Neurospora crassa OR74A: one gene and its partners. The protein of the gene in region 1 interacts with the protein of each later gene in a biochemical or structural test. Links are inferred from orthologs where the notes say so. Each region holds a gene or a part of one and is shown in the gene's direction. Other genes may lie near its edges.

Region 1 (6,125 bases):
GTAACTCAATAGGTCTTTGGTGTCCAATCCCTCGATTTCCTCCATCTCCTCGGGCAAGTGGCCTTCCGGAGAGTCATCGCATAGCACATGCCTGACTGCTACCCAAATACGCTTGGCACAGTCGAAGACGCGCTGATATAATTGATGGATGGCTTCCAACTGTGTTTCGGAAAAGCTCTCTTTGGCCAGCACAGGCCACGCATAGCTGATGGCGGCAAAATCTGGATGTACGGGGTTCTCAATGGCAGCGTGGCCCAAGTCCTTCTCTGCCTTTGTAACCTTGTCTTCAAGACCACTGATGATCTTGGAAATGTGAGCAATTTGGAGATCTGCACCATCCAACCATCGGCACAGAAGTCCCTGGGAGCGAGCAGCGCCGTCACCGTGATCAGCGCGGCCAGTTCTGTCTGCCAAAGCCCGGGCTTTTAGGCAAAAGTCTTGCAGGACCTCGAGTTGGGTCTTGCTATTGAGACTGGGTTGTGCGGGGGACTTGATGATTCCTTGAGAGAACAACCCCAGAAGGTTAGAGGCGGAGTCTCTGACATCGTCAAAAGGGTCCAAGAGTAGATCCAGAAGAAGGCGGATCCAAGTGAAATCTGAAGATATTGACTTTGAAACGTCCTCATCGACAACATCATCCGTGGCACCAGCGTGTTTTCCAACCTTCAACGCCAAAAGTGCCGCTCTCATGGCTGTGATGTGGCGTTGGTAAGACGTTGTGGGCAAAAGCTCACCCTTCAAAAACCCAAGGTACCACGAGAAGAAAGCCTCGTGGCGGTCAAGTACCTCCCTGGCCTCGGTGGGACTCTTCAACAAGTTCTCAGGAGCGGGCTTCTTCTTTGATGATGTCGTATCCTTGTCCGCAGGCGCCGGGTTCTGCTTGCTGGCTGCTTGGGCAAGGCTTCTCTGGGCAACGGAGATGACGTTTTTAACACGCCGAATCAGGTTCTTCGTATAGCCGAGCACCTCGTTGCGCAATTTGGCGTCAAAGTCGGCATGGAAGGCGGCGAGGTGCTTCCTGAGTAGGTCAAACGCTATCCGGGAAAAGGGCTTCGTAGTGGCCTGGGATGAGACCAACAAGGAGAAAGCGCTGGATCTGACGGAGAGGGAAGGATGTGTGAGGAAGCTTTCGAGGACAGTGTCCCGAAGAATTACCTTGCTTGAAGACTGAGAAGCGTCAATATCATTGCTGGGTTCTTCCACGAGACCAAACCGCTTGCCGGTCTCGAGTGTCGCCAACTGGAGCAAGAGAGTCAGATCGGTCAGATCCTGTGTAGATCCGACGGGTATCTCGCTGCGGTTAAACGCCTCGAGCAGCTTCAGAGATTCGACCTTGTCAGTCTTGAAAATAGGAACTAGGACGTAGTTCTTGATATCCTCCAAGACTGCTGGTCTCTGGGCCACAGCCTCCTGTAGCCACGTCTTCCAGACCTCGACAGTGAACTTTTCGCTTTTTTGGGCCGCAGCAGCAGCCTGGCCAGTTAAACCCTTAAAAATATGCACAAGACATTTGCCGGCATGAGGGCAGACGTAGGGAAGCTCCATCCACGAGAACAGCTCAAAAACAAAGGACTTCCACACGGAGAGATGAGATAGGTCGGCGACAGAAGAGTCGACCTCGCGATACTTGCGAGCAACATCGTCGAGGGAAAGAACCTTTTTGTTCAAGAAGTGGTCCAGACACTGCAGGCCAGACTTGGTCAGTTGCATGGCAGACTTGCGAGCGACAATCTCCACGATGGTCTTGAGGATGTGTTCCTTCACTGCCTTCCCTGTCTCGGGTTTGGGATTAATGGTCGCCGAGGCCACAAGGACATCAAGAATCAGTCTCAGGGCACGATGCGGGTCGTGTTCATACCACTCAAGGTAGAAATGGAACAGCTTCGTTGAGACGGGCTCGGTGAAGGCCCATTCCTTCAGCTTCTCGTCTTTGGCCTTGGCGCATTGCTGAACAAAGCTGCAGAGCCTTACGACATCGTGACCGTTGCCGTGATACTGGCGAGACTCAGAGGCATTGCTGAACAACTTGGCAAATACTGCCTGTGCGATGCTAACACGGGTGTTAGTGAATGTCTGTATATGTGTGATTGAGAACTTCTCACAAAGAATAACTGGACACTGAAGATATCCGAAAGAAAAGAAACCTACGCTGGGAGTGACTCGGTGGGTTGTGACAACAGCCACTTGGTGATGGTGTTGGCATTTTCAAACACTTCGGGGCCCAGTCCGGCTAGCAGAGCGTCCGTGTCAATGGTGCTGCTGCCGGGGGCATTTTGCTGGACTTGGGTTGACTCCATCCCCGCAGTCCAAAAGGGAAGTTATGATTGAGGGACCGGGTTTAGACGTGCATCCGAGACTTCGTTGCAGAGTGATGATGACTGGGAAAGGGAGGCAATAAAGAAGGAGCGAAGAGTGGTAAGTGCCTGACCGTCAATGAGCCCCCCAGTGAGAGTTAGTGAGGGCCTGAAGTTACTGTGATAGTAAGTAATCCACCTCTCTGCTGGGCACTCGTGTAAAGTATGAGCGACGAGTTGTGAAATTTTGGGATCTTCAAAGGCCTATAGCATCACCCACTGTGTGTTTACATCCACTGCGCATGTTCTGGGGGTGAATCCACTCCGGCCACCGTGCTTGTTTTGGGTCTGAAGTTGCCTGCCGCCATGTCAAGAGATACCCCTGCACTGTAGCAGTAAAAGAATCCCCACGAACGAACCGTCCCCGTAAAAGATCCAAAGGCGAAGAAGTCCTGAGAAAGCAGGAATGGGAACATGGAGAATCCGTTGAATATATCTGTTCAAGGCGTAGTCTAGCTTCAGATGCCCACGATGTACTGCAGTTGACCTTTCAATAAGGTCTTCTTCATTACAGCCTCGGTTGAGTTCCACTTCGCCATGTTGACATGTCCCCGAAATCAAAGCCCCAGAGCATGTATATACATATGTAGAGGTACATATGACGCCAATCGCTCGCACGGGCCATGCGGGCGCCATAGAGGTAAATTTTTTCGAAGTTCCGACGTTATCGGGGGCCAAGACAGGCGTCGGTCCAAGTTGCGCGTGAGCCGGAGCCAATTCGAGATCCCATCCGTCTCGCCCACCGACCCGTCCGTCACTCCCCCGAAGATACGATAGCTTACTCGTTTGCCGACGGCACCACCCACCCACCCTTCCCTCCGGCTACCCGTCACCACTCTTGCGCGCAGCAGTACGCGGTCTATCTGCTTCGTGTTCCCCAACTGCTTAACGATCCGATAACCCATCGAACCCCTCCACTTCAGTCACAATGTCCGGCCTTTGGAACACCCTCACCGGAGGCAACAAGAAGCAGCAAGAGCAGCAAGAGCCCGCCGCACCCGCCCCCAGCGCACCTCAGACAACCACCACCACCACCTCCGCTCCTTCATATCCCTCGCCCTTCGATGCTAGCCAGCCCCAAGGTGTCGAGGCCTTTCTCGGTAGCTCTTCCTTCGCCGACCCCACACAACTACACCCTCTTGCCGGCCTCAACAAGGAAACACTAGAATACATCTCGCTTGAGGATACCCCGCTGCCCGATGCCGCCGGCGCCTCAGTTCTGCCCTCGCGCGGCTTCACTGACGACCTCTGCTACGGAACCGGTATCACCTACCTGACGGCCCTCACTATCGGAGGCGCGTGGGGTTTGAAAGAGGGTCTCCAGAGATCGGCCGGCCAGCCGCCCAAGCTGCGCCTCAACTCCGTCCTTAACGCTGTCACCCGTCGCGGTCCCTACCTCGGCAACTCGGCTGGTGTTGTCGCCATCTGCTACAACCTAATCAACGCCGGCATTGGTTACGTGAGGGGCAAGCACGATGCCGCCAACTCAATCCTGGCCGGTGCGCTTAGTGGTATGCTCTTCAAGAGCACCAGGGGTCTGAAGCCCATGATGATCTCGGGTGGTATTGTTGCGACGATAGCCGGTACTTGGGCGGTATGTCACCATTTTTCGTATGGCAGGCGTAGACTGGAAATACACCTTGCTAACTTTACTGTGTCACTAGGTCGCCAGGAGGACGTTCTTCCCCTCCCCCCAGACCAACGAGGTTGACTGAAGTGGGGACGAAGAATGAAATAGGAAACAAAAAAAGTCATCTTCTGTTCCCTTCATCCCACGACTCTCTGGCCATCTATCGTTGCTCCATGAAAAGAGTGCATAGCTAGCCAGCCTTCTCTATTATTTTAATCTTCGAGAGAACTGACAGAAGAAAACCAGTGTCTTTCTCACCAGCACGGAAGACCACTGCGATGAAGATGTGTGTGTGTCCTTGGTTCAACACGGAGCAAAAGGGCAGCAGACACGAACTGGTGGATGTGTACGAACAAGAGAGGGAAGAACGAAAATAAAGCGACACTGGGCTGGGCAGGGCTTGAACAAGGCAGGACATGGAAGAGGGGCCAAAGGGCAGGGTGTGTGCATAGTGGTGCATAGCGCAAGGGTTAGTCTCATCTCTCTCCTCCCCGTGTGTGGAAAATTGTATGTATTATAGCGGATCATATGGACATAGAGCGCAATCGCCCTGGTTGGGCATATGGGGCATTGCGGCAGGCTTCATTCAAACTTTGAGTCTATTGCGGGTTGTACATGACTGTTGGCTCCGGGTTTTATGATAAGATAATAGAGAGGTAATGTTTGGTGTGGGATATATTGGGCATGTCACCCTGCCACACGTTGGTGTCGAAAATGACTGCAAGCAGGTGTGAGTTCAAAGTTCGAAGCGACTTAGGGGCAGGACTACGAATGAACATATCCACTCTCTTAGGATAAGGCCCATCTCCGACGAATTCCCTATTTGCCACAGAACTGGAAACCGTACGCACATTGTTCCTCGAGTATTCCCCATGCAAATCTTTGGCTTGAGAACAACAGGCAAGCACCAGTTTCAATACATGGAAGCAGAGAGATCAAGACAGGGAGGAAAATCAATTCTTCGATAACCGACAGACTAGTGAGCTACAAGTGGCAGTAACGATAATAACCTTGCTTGCCTCTTTATGCTAAGTCCCTCTACGAATCCCGTTATTGCTTTCTCTAAGATCGAAGACTAATAAAGCAAGTTTCCCATCCATATCTTTGGTTATAACAAGATCGAGCTAACATCATTTGGTTCCTGGTGTGGGATGCTGTTGCAAAAGGAGAAAGGCGAGCTCGACATGATCATATGTAACGTGTAATGTATCCCCACCTTCTTCCTAAACCACCATAGAAAGCCACTTGAAGAATATACAAAAACTCGATAGTATACCAACAGAACACTTTAGCATAGAAAGAAGACAACGTAATCATCCACCTTTGTTAGTTTAGGATGAACCGGGGCAGCGCATCCACGAACCACAACAAAAACCAAGCAGACAATGAAGTCGTAAGTGACATATCAACAAGCAAGATGATCAGGTGCACGAGATGTAATGTTCCTACTGTGAGTAGGCGGGTATCATAGATCATGTCTAAATACTCCCAAGGCATACTTTCAGAAATTTCATACACCAAGAACAATGGTCATAGTCGGGTCGTCATGTGGGTTTAGAGTGTTTTGGGCTGTGCCTCCCCTTTTCGGTTGCGGGAGCCTCATACCTGCCCGGGCCGGCTTCTGCCAAGTATCTTATCAAGACCAAGGCAGATGAAAGACGGAGTTTCCGTTCAACTGCGCTTCCGCAGTTGACAGACAACAAAACTTCAAACCAACTCGACTCCTGTTTTGTACCGCGCTCGCCGCACATTGGGAAGAACAACCATTACTGCCACGGCAACGGCAAAAATATCCCGAATCGAAAGCAATCAGAGCAATTAGAGAAGAAGCAGTCAACATGTGCTGTTGCATTCCTTGCTGGCCGTTTGCCGACGTCGACTTTGAGCGCGAACCGGTCAACCGGTACGGAGACAACTATCACTATGTTTTTAACGAGAGCACGAGGGCCTGGGAGCTCCGCGATGTGGTAAGTTTGTTTGCTTTCCTTGTTGCAGAATTTCCACCCAAGAAATCGAGAGCAGCAGCAGGTCAGGTATCTCTGAGGGTTAGTACTCTCTCTTGGATCCGAGGACATCGAGCAGACTCGAAGACTTGTTTGAAGGAAGGAGCGTTTGTTGGCAGGACAACGATCACGAGGACT
Region 2 (5,394 bases), about 1.6 Mb from region 1:
GAGGTGGACGTCTGGGATGGCTCGGACTCCGAGTCGGAGGATGACGATGGTGACGCCGAGTCTGTGACTTCGAGCAGTTCCAGCTCCAGCGATGATGCCTATGGCAGTGGTGAGGAGGGAATAGCGAGCAAGTTGAAGAGGAAAGCGAAGAGAAAGCTGCCTAGCTTTCTTGGTGGAAGGAAGAAGTCCAAGGACAAGAAAGTTCCGGAGCCCACCACAACAACGCCGCCGCCGCCGCCGCCTGCAGCAGCAACAACCACTGAGGCCGCCCCAGTAGGACTATCAGCCGAAACGAACCCCTTGGAGAGGTGCAAGAGCGGCGGCTCTGCCTCTTTATTCCAAACTCTCAGTAGGAAGAGCACCAAAGAGCCGCGAGTCCTGCACGGGTACACGCTAACTAAAGACATCACCTTCCGAGACGTGTGCGAGGCTATCAAGGACTACGGTTTTGCCACAACCGACTTGCCTCTGATCGTCAGTCTCGAGGTGCACTGCAGCGCTGAGCAGCAGGAAATGATGGTTGACATTATGAGGCAGATCTGGGGAGACTTGCTTCTTCCTGAGCCGGAGGAGGATGCCAAATATCTTCCCACTCCTGAAGAGCTGCGCGGCAAAATTCTCGTGAAGGTCAAGTACGCTCCACCCAACAATGAAGGGGGCTCGACGGGCTCGACGACCCCCGAGGAGCTGGACAACACCGCCGCCGCGGCTTCTGGAAGACTATCAGAAGAAGCGGGCCAACCGAAGCAGCGGGCGAAGAAACCGTCGAAGGTTATCTGGAGTTTGAGCAAGATGGGCATCTACACGCGCGGTGTGTCGTTCAAAAGTCTGATGCAGCCCGAGGCCAACATGCCGACGCACATCTTTTCGCTGTCGGAGAGTGGCGTGATGGATGTTCACAAGGAGAGTCGTAGCGCGCTCTTCGAGCATAACAAGCACTATCTGATGCGGGCGTACCCGTCTGGTATGCGTATCTTGTCATCAAACCTGGATCCGGCTGTGTTTTGGAGAAAGGGGATCCAGATTGTGGCGCTGAATTGGCAGAATTGGGATGAGGGCATGATGCTGAATGAGGGCATGTTTGCTGGGACGGGCGGTTATGTGCTCAAACCTGCTGGTACGTCCACTTAGTCCACTCCTCTTTAGGCAAGACAAAAACGCTAACAAGACCCGACCTAGGCTACCGCTGCGCCAAACTCACCGACTCTAATCCGTCCCCCTCCCCCTCACCCTTGGCCTCCGACACCCAAGCCGACGCCGTCCAGCACTACACCATGGATCTTACCATCAATGTTCTCGCTGCTCAATCGCTCCCCCTTCCCCCCGGAGACGACAACATCGACTCTTTCCGCCCTTACCTGAAAGTCGAACTACACGTGGAAGAGCCTGGAGAGCGGCACGGTACCGACGAGCTGCCGCAGGACGGCAAAGAAAAAGGGGGCGAGTACAAGGCCAAGACCAAATCTATAAAGGGAGGATGCGATCCGGATTGGGAGGGGAAGTTCGGTGCCCAGACAGAACTGAAATTTGAGAATATCCCTGGTGTAGTCCCGGAGCTCTCGTTTGTGAGGTTCTTGGTGCTGGATGATGAGATTGGAAGGGATTCGTTGGCGGCGTGGGCGTGCGTGAGGCTGGATCGGTTGAGGGAAGGGTATCGGTTTGTGCATCTTTTGGATGCGAAGGGGATGGAGAGTGATGGGGCTGTTTTGGTGAAGATAAGCAAGAAGTTGAGGTTGTAACTTTACTTGCTGTGCGGTACAGTGCGGTTTGTTTCGGTGTGGTTTGTGGGAGTGAAGGAAGTGAGGGAGTTAAAAGCATATGAAGCATATATAGCATGGAGCGTTAAGCGTGATCTTAGCCTTGTCATTCATATTTCTTGTGACAGTTGTGTTTAAACTGTCGAAGGTGGTATAAACTACTTTGCATAACACCATCGACACCAACAAACCACTGTTGTTATTGTTGTGTCCCAAAAGGGGCCCCCTTATTCCTGCCATTTCAGGACTTTGCCTGCCGGGAAAAGACCGACTTGCACCAGCCTCACCTTATCACTGCTCGGCAATCACTACTTACTAAAGCCACACCTCCATAATAAACATTTCGAACTGACTGGGATCCTGGCTTGCTGCGGCATTCGTCCGGAGCTTCGTTCGCAGTCAAGTTACCTATCATTCCCACTTTATCGAAGCCGTCACCAAGATCTTAGCTCCGGCAACTTCGCGACTGATTTAATAACCAACCACCACCACCACCACCACACCCAAATCCAAACTTCAAACTCCAAAACTCTATACAAAAAAAATCGCAACCATGTCCGACTCAACCTCCGAGACCGTCAAGAAGGCTATCATCAAGCAGGTTCTCATCGAGTCCCAGAGCGCCAATGCGCGGACTTTGATGGAGGTACGTACCTCTCTCTCTCTCTCTCTCTCTCTGTCTTTCCGTTTTCTCTCTTTTGCTCTCTCTCTCTCTCTCTCTCTCTCTCAAAACCGCCAACCAACTAACCGGGCCTTCAATGTAAAAAAAAAAACAGAAAATCGGCGAAAACTGCTTCACCTCGTGCGTCCCCAAGCCCGGCTCCTCCCTCTCCAACAGCGAGAAGACGTGCGTGACCCAGTGCACCGAAAAGTACATGGCGGCGTGGAACGTGGTCAACACGACTTATCTGCGGAGGATACAGCAGGAGATGGGCAACCAGTAGAGAGGGAGGAGTAAGTAGTAGTACCTAGGACGAAGGCACATCGATGAGTTGCTTCTTTGGGGGTCTTGGGGGGGAAGACGAAAAAAAAAAGCATTATGGAGGGAGGGATGGGGCAGGGAGGGGAAAAAAAAAAGAAAAAAAAGTATATGCGACTTCGACTTAGTGCGACTGCGACTGCGACTGCGACTGCGACTGCGACTCCGACTGCTGCCGCGACTGTCGACTGGCATGCGATGAATGATTCGGATGCCGATTCCGTATCGTACACGAACAGATCGGGTTCAAACACGACCTTATTGTTTGAAGGACATTATAGAAGATATCAAGGGTTCTTGATGGCGGCAGTGGTGTCAAGACCTTCGCATTGGGCATTAGCACAGGGTCCGGTCACGGCTGAGGGTTGGAAATGTTAAGATGCAGGAGGCTGGAGAAGCGCAAAGCAAGGAAAGAACGCAAGGAGGGAAAAATCAGCGAGCGGCGGCTGTTTGGTTAGGGAGATGGAGGTGACATCGTTTTCCGTACCATATGTGTACGTGTGTATCAACATCAGCGCAATCACGGGCAAGGGAATGGTATGGGTAGACAGGGAAAGGAACGGGGCCCAGTGCTTTTTATAGACGTTGGAAAAGTGGCATTCTTTATTTTTCCTTGTCCTGGCATATGCTTTTACTGGGAACTGATGTGATCAGTTTGACCAGGTTCCCAAAAAGAAAAGGGTATCTCATGTCAACAACAACCACTGAAAATGAACAACTTGAAAGATAACAAAACCGAGCTGTTAAAAACAGAACTACGGCGCACCACCCTCCTCCAGCCCCTTCTTCTTCGCCTCTTCGGCCGCCCTCTTTCTCGCCAGGTACCGCTCCTTCGCGCTCGAGATATCCGCCTCCGTCTTCCTGCTCTTGGACACCAGCTCAACCTTCTTCCTCTCTTCTTCTTCCTCCTCTCTCGCCCGCTTAAGCCTCTCCTCAAGCTGAGCCTCCAGCATGCGCGTCTGCCTTTCCCGCATTGCCTGCTTGCTGCCACCCTGGAACACGCCCTTAGCTGGTCCGCTTGCCCCAGCAGGCTTTGCGGCCTGTCGAGCCTTCTCTTGTTGGTGTTCCACCTTCTTCTTAGGCGCCACGTTTAGACCACCCTTGAGCAGCTGTCGTTTGTCGACCACCTCACCGTCATCATTGATAATCACATTTCCGCCCATGGCGTTAATCTCTTTTGCCCTTTCTGTCGCCGACTTTTCCGCGTCCGGGTCTTCTTCTCCCTCATTCTTCTGCTGTGCTGCCTCTCCAGGCCCAGCCTTAACCCGCTCCTCAACAGCCTTCATCTTGGCCGCATGCTCCTGCTCCTCCTTCTCCAGCATCTGCTTATAAAAGTCTGTCAAGCCCTTATTCTTGTTCTTTTTGGCCTCTTCCTCCTCCCTCTTCTTTTCTTCTTCCTCTAGTCGTCGGTTTTCTTCCTGCTGGCGCTTGTACGCCTCTGTGACGAATTTTTCTTTGTCGGCAAACGCGTCCCCCTCGGCCTCGCGCTCCCGTTTTAGTCGTTTTTCTTCGGCGATGGCCCGGTCGCGCTCGCGCGTCTCGGCGGCCTTTTGTAAAGCATCAAAGTAGCGCGGCCGCTTACCTTCCTTGCTGTCGGCTTCTTTCTCTTGCTTCTTGGGCGCCTTGAGGGAATCGTAGACGGCGTCGTAGTCGTAGATGGAGGGGTCGGCGGTGGCGGCAGCCTGAGCGTATTTACGCGATTCGAGGGCGGAGGAGAGGTCGCCAAATTGAGCGGCGGCGGCGACGGGAGGAGGTGCTTTCTTGTTTGATGATGATGATGATGATGTTGTTGTTGTTGCCGATATAGGCGGTGGTGGTTGTGGTAGTCCCTTTGATTTCTTTTTTGATTTGCGGTCCTCGTCTACTGCCTCTAGGGGTGTGCTCGTGTTGTCGTCGAAACCGTCCAATTCGGCAATTTCAACGGCGGCGATGGGCTTGGGCTGGCCATCACCGGCTGTCGTGTCTTCGTCATCGTCATCGCCGCCGAAGGTCGTGGGCTTCCTCTTGGCCGGCGCTGGTTTCGAGGAGGCGGCAGCCTTTTTCAGTCCAAAAGAGAAGCCCACCATGATGATTTTCTTTGGTGGATTGATTGGCCAATTTGAAATACAATTAGTGAAATAATTCAGAAAGAGAAGGTTGGTTGTCCTTGGGATAATTGGAGTGGCGGCAACTACACTACACTGCAGTGCAGTCGGGTGCACTTACACTAAAGTGAAGAATAAGTGGGTCACGTCACCAGCCACGGATCGCTTATCGTTTATCGATCATTCGCATGGTGTTCCTTTTCCCGGCCGGCAAAGCGCCTTGGGCTAGTGTTCGATAGGAACTGAAAATATGGCATTCTTACCTTTCCTGACAAAATGTCGAAAATTACGCTAATTCAAGGTCTGTGCTCATGCCCGTGCACGGTATCCACCAGAAGGTAGCTTCGTCGACGAAGGCTACTGTGTGTTGGGGGTTTTGAGCCCAAATTCTGTACCCGAATACTTTGTACCAGGCTCCATATAATCACGTGCGCCTGTAAGTAACGAAAAGATGGCCATTTTTTCATGAAACTGACGGTAAATTTCGTAACTGACCACTGACGGGTCAGACAGATGGATCACTACCTTGGGCTTAGTTTCCAGGAGCTCAAAGTCCCCTTTGCTGTGTCAATGT
Region 3 (6,264 bases), on another chromosome or scaffold:
CTGCGGTTGTTGTTGCGGCTGAGGCTGCGATGATGGCTGCTGTTGCTGATGGTGCATAGTTGGAGGCGCGCCGTTGACGCCATTCGCCATGGGCGGGCGGCCTGTTGCTGAGCGTGAAAGGTCGGACGCTCCTTCTGGCCTGGCATTAGTCCATGAGTTGGTGTTGTTGTTTTTTGGTTGCGGTTTCTTGCGCAGAGCTTGTGAGTTCGACCAAGGCGCGGTGTCTCCACCGACCGACATGGGGTTGCCGTTTCCGTTGACGCCGCCGCTGCTGGTGGTGCTGTTGGGGCTGCCGTTGGTCGGCGCAGTCGAGACGGAGCCGGTCGAGGTCACGGTGGAGGTGGACGAGGAGGACGCCGTCGACGCAACCGACGACGAGGAGTTTGATCGTTGAAGAGATTTTCGCGACATGAACATGTTCATTCTATTGTCGTCGGGGTTCATCGGGTTTAGCGATTGGTCGCCATTAATCCATCCCGGCCGATTGAGATTTGCGAAGCTAGGGGGATTCGCGACAGCCGTCATTGAGACCTGGCGTGGACGGGGCTCTGGGGGAATGGAGCGAAGTGGATACGGGCGGTGGTGTCGCTGGTCGCTAGTGTCGTCGCTTGCCGTCTATGCTAGGACCTTGAGATTGTTCCCTTTGCAAGTTGCAACAAACTGTCCTTTTTTTTTTTTTTTTGCTGGAAGCTGGAAACGGGGAGCGGGAGCGGGAGCAGGCGCGCGGGCTCCAACTGGCTGTCACTCGAGGTCTCCGTGCAGCCTCTAGCCCATGCGACTACTTGTTCTTCTCTTCCTGACCTTGTTATGTACCTGCGCCACTATTGATGGAGTTTGGACGGGTTGTTGGCAACTATAGGGGCTGAAAGCAAAAGGGTCAGTTAGAGGCGAGTAATGTTACCCAGCACGCGGCGGTAATCTGGCCGTGACGTCGAGCACTTGGCGCAGGGATTCCGGGGTTCCAAGGTGGATTGGACAAGTGGACAATGGCCGCCGACGACTGTCGAGTTAGGAGTGCGCACTTGCTCTTTGGTAACTTCGCGCCCTTGCTGGCGGAGGGGCAGGCACCGAGTCGAGAGGCGATCCCGTCGTGATGTTGGTGCTTATATAGTAAAGAAGGAGCAAGCGAGAAGCAAGCATACCTAGTAATAGCAAGTTGTGACGGCGATTTCGAGGGCAGATGGGGAAAATGGCAAATGGCAAAGCACGCTTTCGAGACGCGACGGCAACAGTATGGCACTCGACGATGGTTGAACCAGAATATCCACGAGGCGACTCACGTTTCCAGAGTCCTGACGTTGCCTTGGAGAGGAACCAACCGTACCTGAAGCGCTTAGTGGGCAGGGGACTGAAGGCCGGCCGGAGCCACGGAGTGGTCCATGCGTGCAGCTGGCTCAGCTAAACTTTCCCACCAAATCCCAAACAGGACTACCCCGTTCCTCGCGATTGGGCCTTTGACTAGCAGCACTGCCGCTGCCCGGCCAGTGGTCGCTGGCTTCTGCAGTGGTACCTAGGTACCTACAGCCGTGTACTGGTAGTCCCCGCCCCTGTTTCTACAATGAAGCACCTCTTCGCTTGGTACCTGTAGGTCTGCTTGAACTTGCTTGAGGTGACCCATTGGCTCTTGGATGCCGACCAGTTGAAGATGCAGCGGTAAACACGATCAAGGTGTCCTGCGTATATGATACAGTGATTGTATCGGAATGAAATTGGTGTGCGATATGTGCAGGCCAACCACCAGGGGCAAGATGATGGTCTGTACGTGGGTGCAGGCGCAATCTTCAGGAGCTTGAATCCCGTCTTTCACGGAGATGAAAAAGAACCAACTGAACAAGGGAGAGGCATGATTTCAACTTGCGCTGGCTGTCAGTCTGTCACCAACTCCAGCAGGAACTCCCTATCACGTGAGCAATGCCTGTAAATGGTAATTGGAAAGGACATAAATGGAGTTGACGATGGCACGTCGCCCGCTAGGCGACTACAGTTCTAGGTGGTCTGACGGGCAACGCCGAGGTTGGTGGCCCAAGCGTCTAGACGTTCCAAAGACATGAAAGAGGTTCCATAGGTGATCCCCGCCTATCCCGGTTCTGTTAGAGCTTCATCTGCCAAGTGGTGAAGCTTGCAAGTACAGTACGACAGCAAGGACTCACAAAGGTGGATTAAAGATATCAGAAACGCTCATTATTGCATCCCTATAGTTGGGATAGACCGTCTATAGTTATTGATCTCTTCTTTAGGTTTTGAGAAGACTCACGCTTCGTGAAACAGAGACAAGCTTTCACATGCAGTGGCCTTATCACGATGGAATGTTCCCTGTAGCACTTGATAGTTCCTCCCGGCGGGCAAGGCTGATGCGGTGGAGTCCTCGTTCACACGCTGAAATCGTCCGTGCGTCACTTTTTGCAATTGCCCGCGGCAACCACTCTATCGCGGAATTCCTCCCACTTCTTTGAGATCGCAAGCGAAGCAGCATCAGCTGGCAGTTCCTCTGGCCGCAATTAGCTTTGCAGTGTCGTCAATCCCATACCGCCAATTACCAAGATGCCTCCTCCTCCCCAGCACGGTGGTGCCGTTGGGCCCTCCAACTTTGACAAGTGTATGGGCTGACTCCACGGCAACAACTCGAGAGGGGTTTGCGATAACCAAAAACAACATGGAGCGTGCTAACATGATGCCATCCTCGCAGTCAAGATGGGTGCCATGATGGGCGGCAGTATGTTTCCCCTGCCCGTGATATGATGAAGACTCCGGTCGCTAACCTCTTGCGATTACAGCTGTCGGCTGCATCATTGGTTTCATTTTCGGTAGGCCCATCGCCCAAAGACTCAATTGACCTACGGGCATGTCCTGACGTGCGCCACTCTCCAGGGACCGTCAACATTTTCAGATATGGTGCCGGCCCTAACGGCATCATGAGGACATTGGGCCAGTACATGCTCGGTTCGGGCGCGACCTTTGGGTAGGAAACCCCTTCGACACAGAACTTTGTACTGGACTCTACCGCTGACACAGCCGTCCTTCCAGCTTTTTCATGTCCATCGGAAGCGTCATTCGTTCCGACTCCTCGCCCATTGTCGCCGAGGCCTATTATCGTGCCCAGAGGAGGCCCATGATTATGGCCGCCCAGGCCTTCCGCCCCGCCTACTACCCGACTCGTCGCTCCGACTAAGCGTCCACGCAGGAGGCACGATTTGCTGTACTTTATGTGTAAATAATAGGGCCGCACTCGGGAGCGACTATGGATACGGCGTCTTGGGCGTTTGTTCAGAATTCACAGAAATTCTAATCATGCGTGGATCAGTTTGGGCCCCTTTTGTCTGATATAACTTTTGACGAGCGACAACTCAGGAAGGGTGCTTCCGGGCTTCTGTGCTTGTATTCAACAGATGTTTGCTGACTTTCATGACAACAGGCCAGCTTTACGAATGGGCATGCTGTGCAAGCCGACCGGCATGATGAGGCTCTTCGGCTGTGCTACAACATTGGGCCTGAGTTAGCATGTTAATTTTGTTGGAATGGAAATTCAGCAACACGTATACTATGCGAAACGAGATCAGCGCCCAAAGTTTCACATCCTGGTTAAAGGCGGCCAAGTGATCGATACATACAAGCCACCCTAATACCGTCTAAGACAATTTCATGCGGCTCAAAAAATGCATCGCACTTGCAATCTTAAAGCAATATCCATTCACTCCCTTGAGAATATCTCGTCCAGTGAACCAACAGATACCCAACCATCGTCACTTCCGCCAAGAGGAGACAAACTGGGCGAAAATATTGGAGAGAAATCATCTTTACCACTGTACGGAATCGAGTCAACAGCAGTAGCTCGAAACTTGCAACAAGTGCCAGTCAAAGGAGGCTGAGATCCGCGGCAAGAGGAATACATCAGCTTCTAGACATGCCACAGTCTTACTTAGGAGGATCGGTTTCTGGCTGTTGCTGCATCTGCATACATCCAGCTGCGGTCCGGACTCGTTGACCTAGCAACATTGCGACTCTCTGTTCGAATACAGCGATCAATCGACTAAAGCTAGTTACAGGTCATTGGTTCATTCTTTTTGGATGACGGGCTCGACCGAACAGTTCCCATTGTTCCGGCAGCATTTGTTGCCATGCTTTGGGATTTTCCAAGGTCGTCCGTCAGCAGCCTTCTCATTTTTTGGCGCTTGTTCTGTTTTGCCAGTTCCTTGCTTCCTGCACCGGCGATCATAATTGTGATTGAGCCTCTGACATTTCCCTTGCATTGAAGAGTCCGGCAACGCCGGGTTAAAGCTCTACCGTTTGCTTGTACCGCCACATACACGCAACCAAACGCAACTGGCAGACCTTTGACCCTACAGGGTCCGCACGATTGTGCCTGTCCTGGCATACGAGTTGCGCGAGACCATACGGTATACATATATGTATGCACTTTCGACTCACAGATTAACATCAAGTCCGTGCGAGCCTGTGCGGTACGCTGCTTGGGCGTCAGTATCTAGTATTCTCTCCTTACTTTCAAGAAGGCTGACTGCATGATCGACTACCAGGGACTTTACGAGATGATAGCTCAGTGCCATGGCCAGCAATGGCTGTACCCCTTCTCGTTATTCCTAGCGCTCTTCCGGCGATAACGGAGTGCTCGTCATCTTGCGGTCCAGGAAAATGGGAGCCGTGGAGCTGTACCCATAATATCGTCGACAATTCAACACCTGGAGATCGCTAGATGGAGATCCTCTTGCTGTCCACCTCGTACTTCAACGGTGAACCTCCATTTGGTGTTTTCGTTTACCCAAGTGTCTCTCTATGGCCACTCCTAGCGGTGGGCAGGCCGGATATGTTGTGAGTTTTGTCCGACAAATCCGATGCCGCAAACAACCTGGTCTCTGTGCGCACTAATCTGAAAAATATATATGCTGGTCCAGCTGAGCTGAACAGCTCCCTAACACCATGTGACATGGCTCAAGGACAGCGCTGATCTTGATTACTCTGAAGTTGTGGACATTGAGTTTGTTTCCACGCCGGATCTCGGATGGTACCTGACGATTCCGTTGGCAGACTATCATCATCATCAATCTCAGGGATAATGTGTACTTTGCTGCATCGACTAGGTGCAACAGATACGGAGGATGTCGATCGGGGTAGTGGGTCGATCCCAAACAGCATCTGTGATCTATCCACCCTGCCGTTCCTTTTTCCCTCTCGCTGTGCTGGTCACATTACGGGGCGTTTCTCGGGGATAGCTAGGACTGGGTCGGCCTGTGTTGATTATTGTGTCACGGATGGCGCCAAAGCGGTAGGTCCTTGCGGTCTTAGTCTCCCAAAGGGATTTGTATAAGAAGTAACGATGTAGTTCTTCGTAGCTGAGGATGTTCGGCCGTCCTTGGACACTCATACCCATAGTCTTCCTTCCAACAACTCGGTTGCACTTATAAGGGTCGACAAAGTATATCTTCTGTTTCATCCCTTTACTCTTCATCATGGGTGTAGTAGGACGCGCCATAGTAGAGGTCAGCTCTAAACTTACAGGTGTTGTTGCGAACTTGGTTCAAGAGGAAACAAATGGGTATGTTTCCATTTCTTTCTTCCTTAGGAGGAAGAAGACCACTAACGTCATCTTGTTCAAGTTCATCCCGACTGGGAACGTTTCTCTTTTCATTTCTAGCATTCTTCTTGGGCAATTTAACACCGGATGGACAATATCCATGGGGAAACCTCACCGACTGGGGAAACAACCAATACACCGATGGTCCTGCAACAGGAGTAGTGAGAACGTACGACTTTGTCATCAGCCGAGGAGTCATTGCACCGGATGGATACCAACGGGACGTCTTACTAGTGAACGGCGCATTTCCAGGCCCCCTGATTGAGGCGAACTGGGGTGACATGATTGTCGTTAATGTCTTCAACAACATTTCTTCTCCGGAGGAGGGTACGGCTATGCACTGGCACGGTTTCCTCCAGGACGATACCCCATGGGATGACGGCGCACCCGGTGTCTCCCAATGTCCCATTGTTCCTGGCAAAAGTTACACGTACGAGTTCAATGCAAGTCTCTACGGCACATCCTGGTACCACGCCCACTACTCAGCGCAATACGCCGGTGGCATCGTCGGTCCCATCGTCGTCCACGGTCCCACACAGGCCAAGTACGACATCGACCTCGGCCCCGTCATGCTCAGCGACTGGTACCACCGCCCCTACTTCGACCTGATCAAGGACATGCTCGCGCCGGGCGGTAGTCCCAGTGTACCCTCGGACAATAATCTCATCAACGGCAAG

The links. The genes of interacting proteins can lie anywhere in the genome.
Region 2: the proteins of tim23 (region 1) and tim13 interact in a test that uses a peptide from one of them, tested with the Saccharomyces cerevisiae proteins (2 studies listed by BioGRID, with this or other methods). The link is inferred for Neurospora crassa OR74A from reciprocal best matches to the Saccharomyces cerevisiae genes TIM23 and TIM13.
Region 3: the proteins of tim23 (region 1) and NCU00527 form a complex in vitro, tested with the Saccharomyces cerevisiae proteins (2 studies listed by BioGRID). The link is inferred for Neurospora crassa OR74A from reciprocal best matches to the Saccharomyces cerevisiae genes TIM23 and MGR2.

The regions. Positions count from the first base shown.
Region 1 is NC_026503.1:3,606,943-3,613,067, reverse strand, and holds tim23 (mitochondrial import inner membrane translocase subunit tim23), read left to right. Parts: upstream 1-3,036; 5' UTR 3,037-3,282; coding exon 3,283-3,948; intron 3,949-4,018; coding exon 4,019-4,069; 3' UTR 4,070-4,777; downstream 4,778-6,125. Other genes in the region: NCU00372 (hypothetical protein), read right to left, coding at 1-2,050, 2,149-2,297. UniProt on the Saccharomyces cerevisiae protein: Essential component of the TIM23 complex, a complex that mediates the translocation of transit peptide-containing proteins across the mitochondrial inner membrane.
Region 2 is NC_026503.1:2,024,664-2,030,057, reverse strand, and holds tim13 (mitochondrial import inner membrane translocase subunit tim-13), read left to right. Parts: upstream 1-2,310; coding exon 2,311-2,403; intron 2,404-2,533; coding exon 2,534-2,701; 3' UTR 2,702-3,341; downstream 3,342-5,394. Other genes in the region: plc-1 (phospholipase C), read left to right, coding at 1-1,117, 1,180-1,739; NCU06243 (hypothetical protein), read right to left, coding at 3,492-4,802.
Region 3 is NC_026501.1:8,115,081-8,121,344, forward strand, and holds NCU00527 (mitochondrial genome maintenance protein Mgr2), read left to right. Parts: upstream 1-2,312; 5' UTR 2,313-2,541; coding exon 2,542-2,596; intron 2,597-2,686; coding exon 2,687-2,713; intron 2,714-2,774; coding exon 2,775-2,804; intron 2,805-2,868; coding exon 2,869-2,959; intron 2,960-3,024; coding exon 3,025-3,169; 3' UTR 3,170-4,211; downstream 4,212-6,264. Other genes in the region: ham-4 (FHA domain-containing protein), read right to left, coding at 1-525; NCU00526 (Lcc1), read left to right, coding at 5,463-5,548, 5,610-6,264. UniProt on the Saccharomyces cerevisiae protein: Required for cell viability in cells lacking mitochondrial DNA.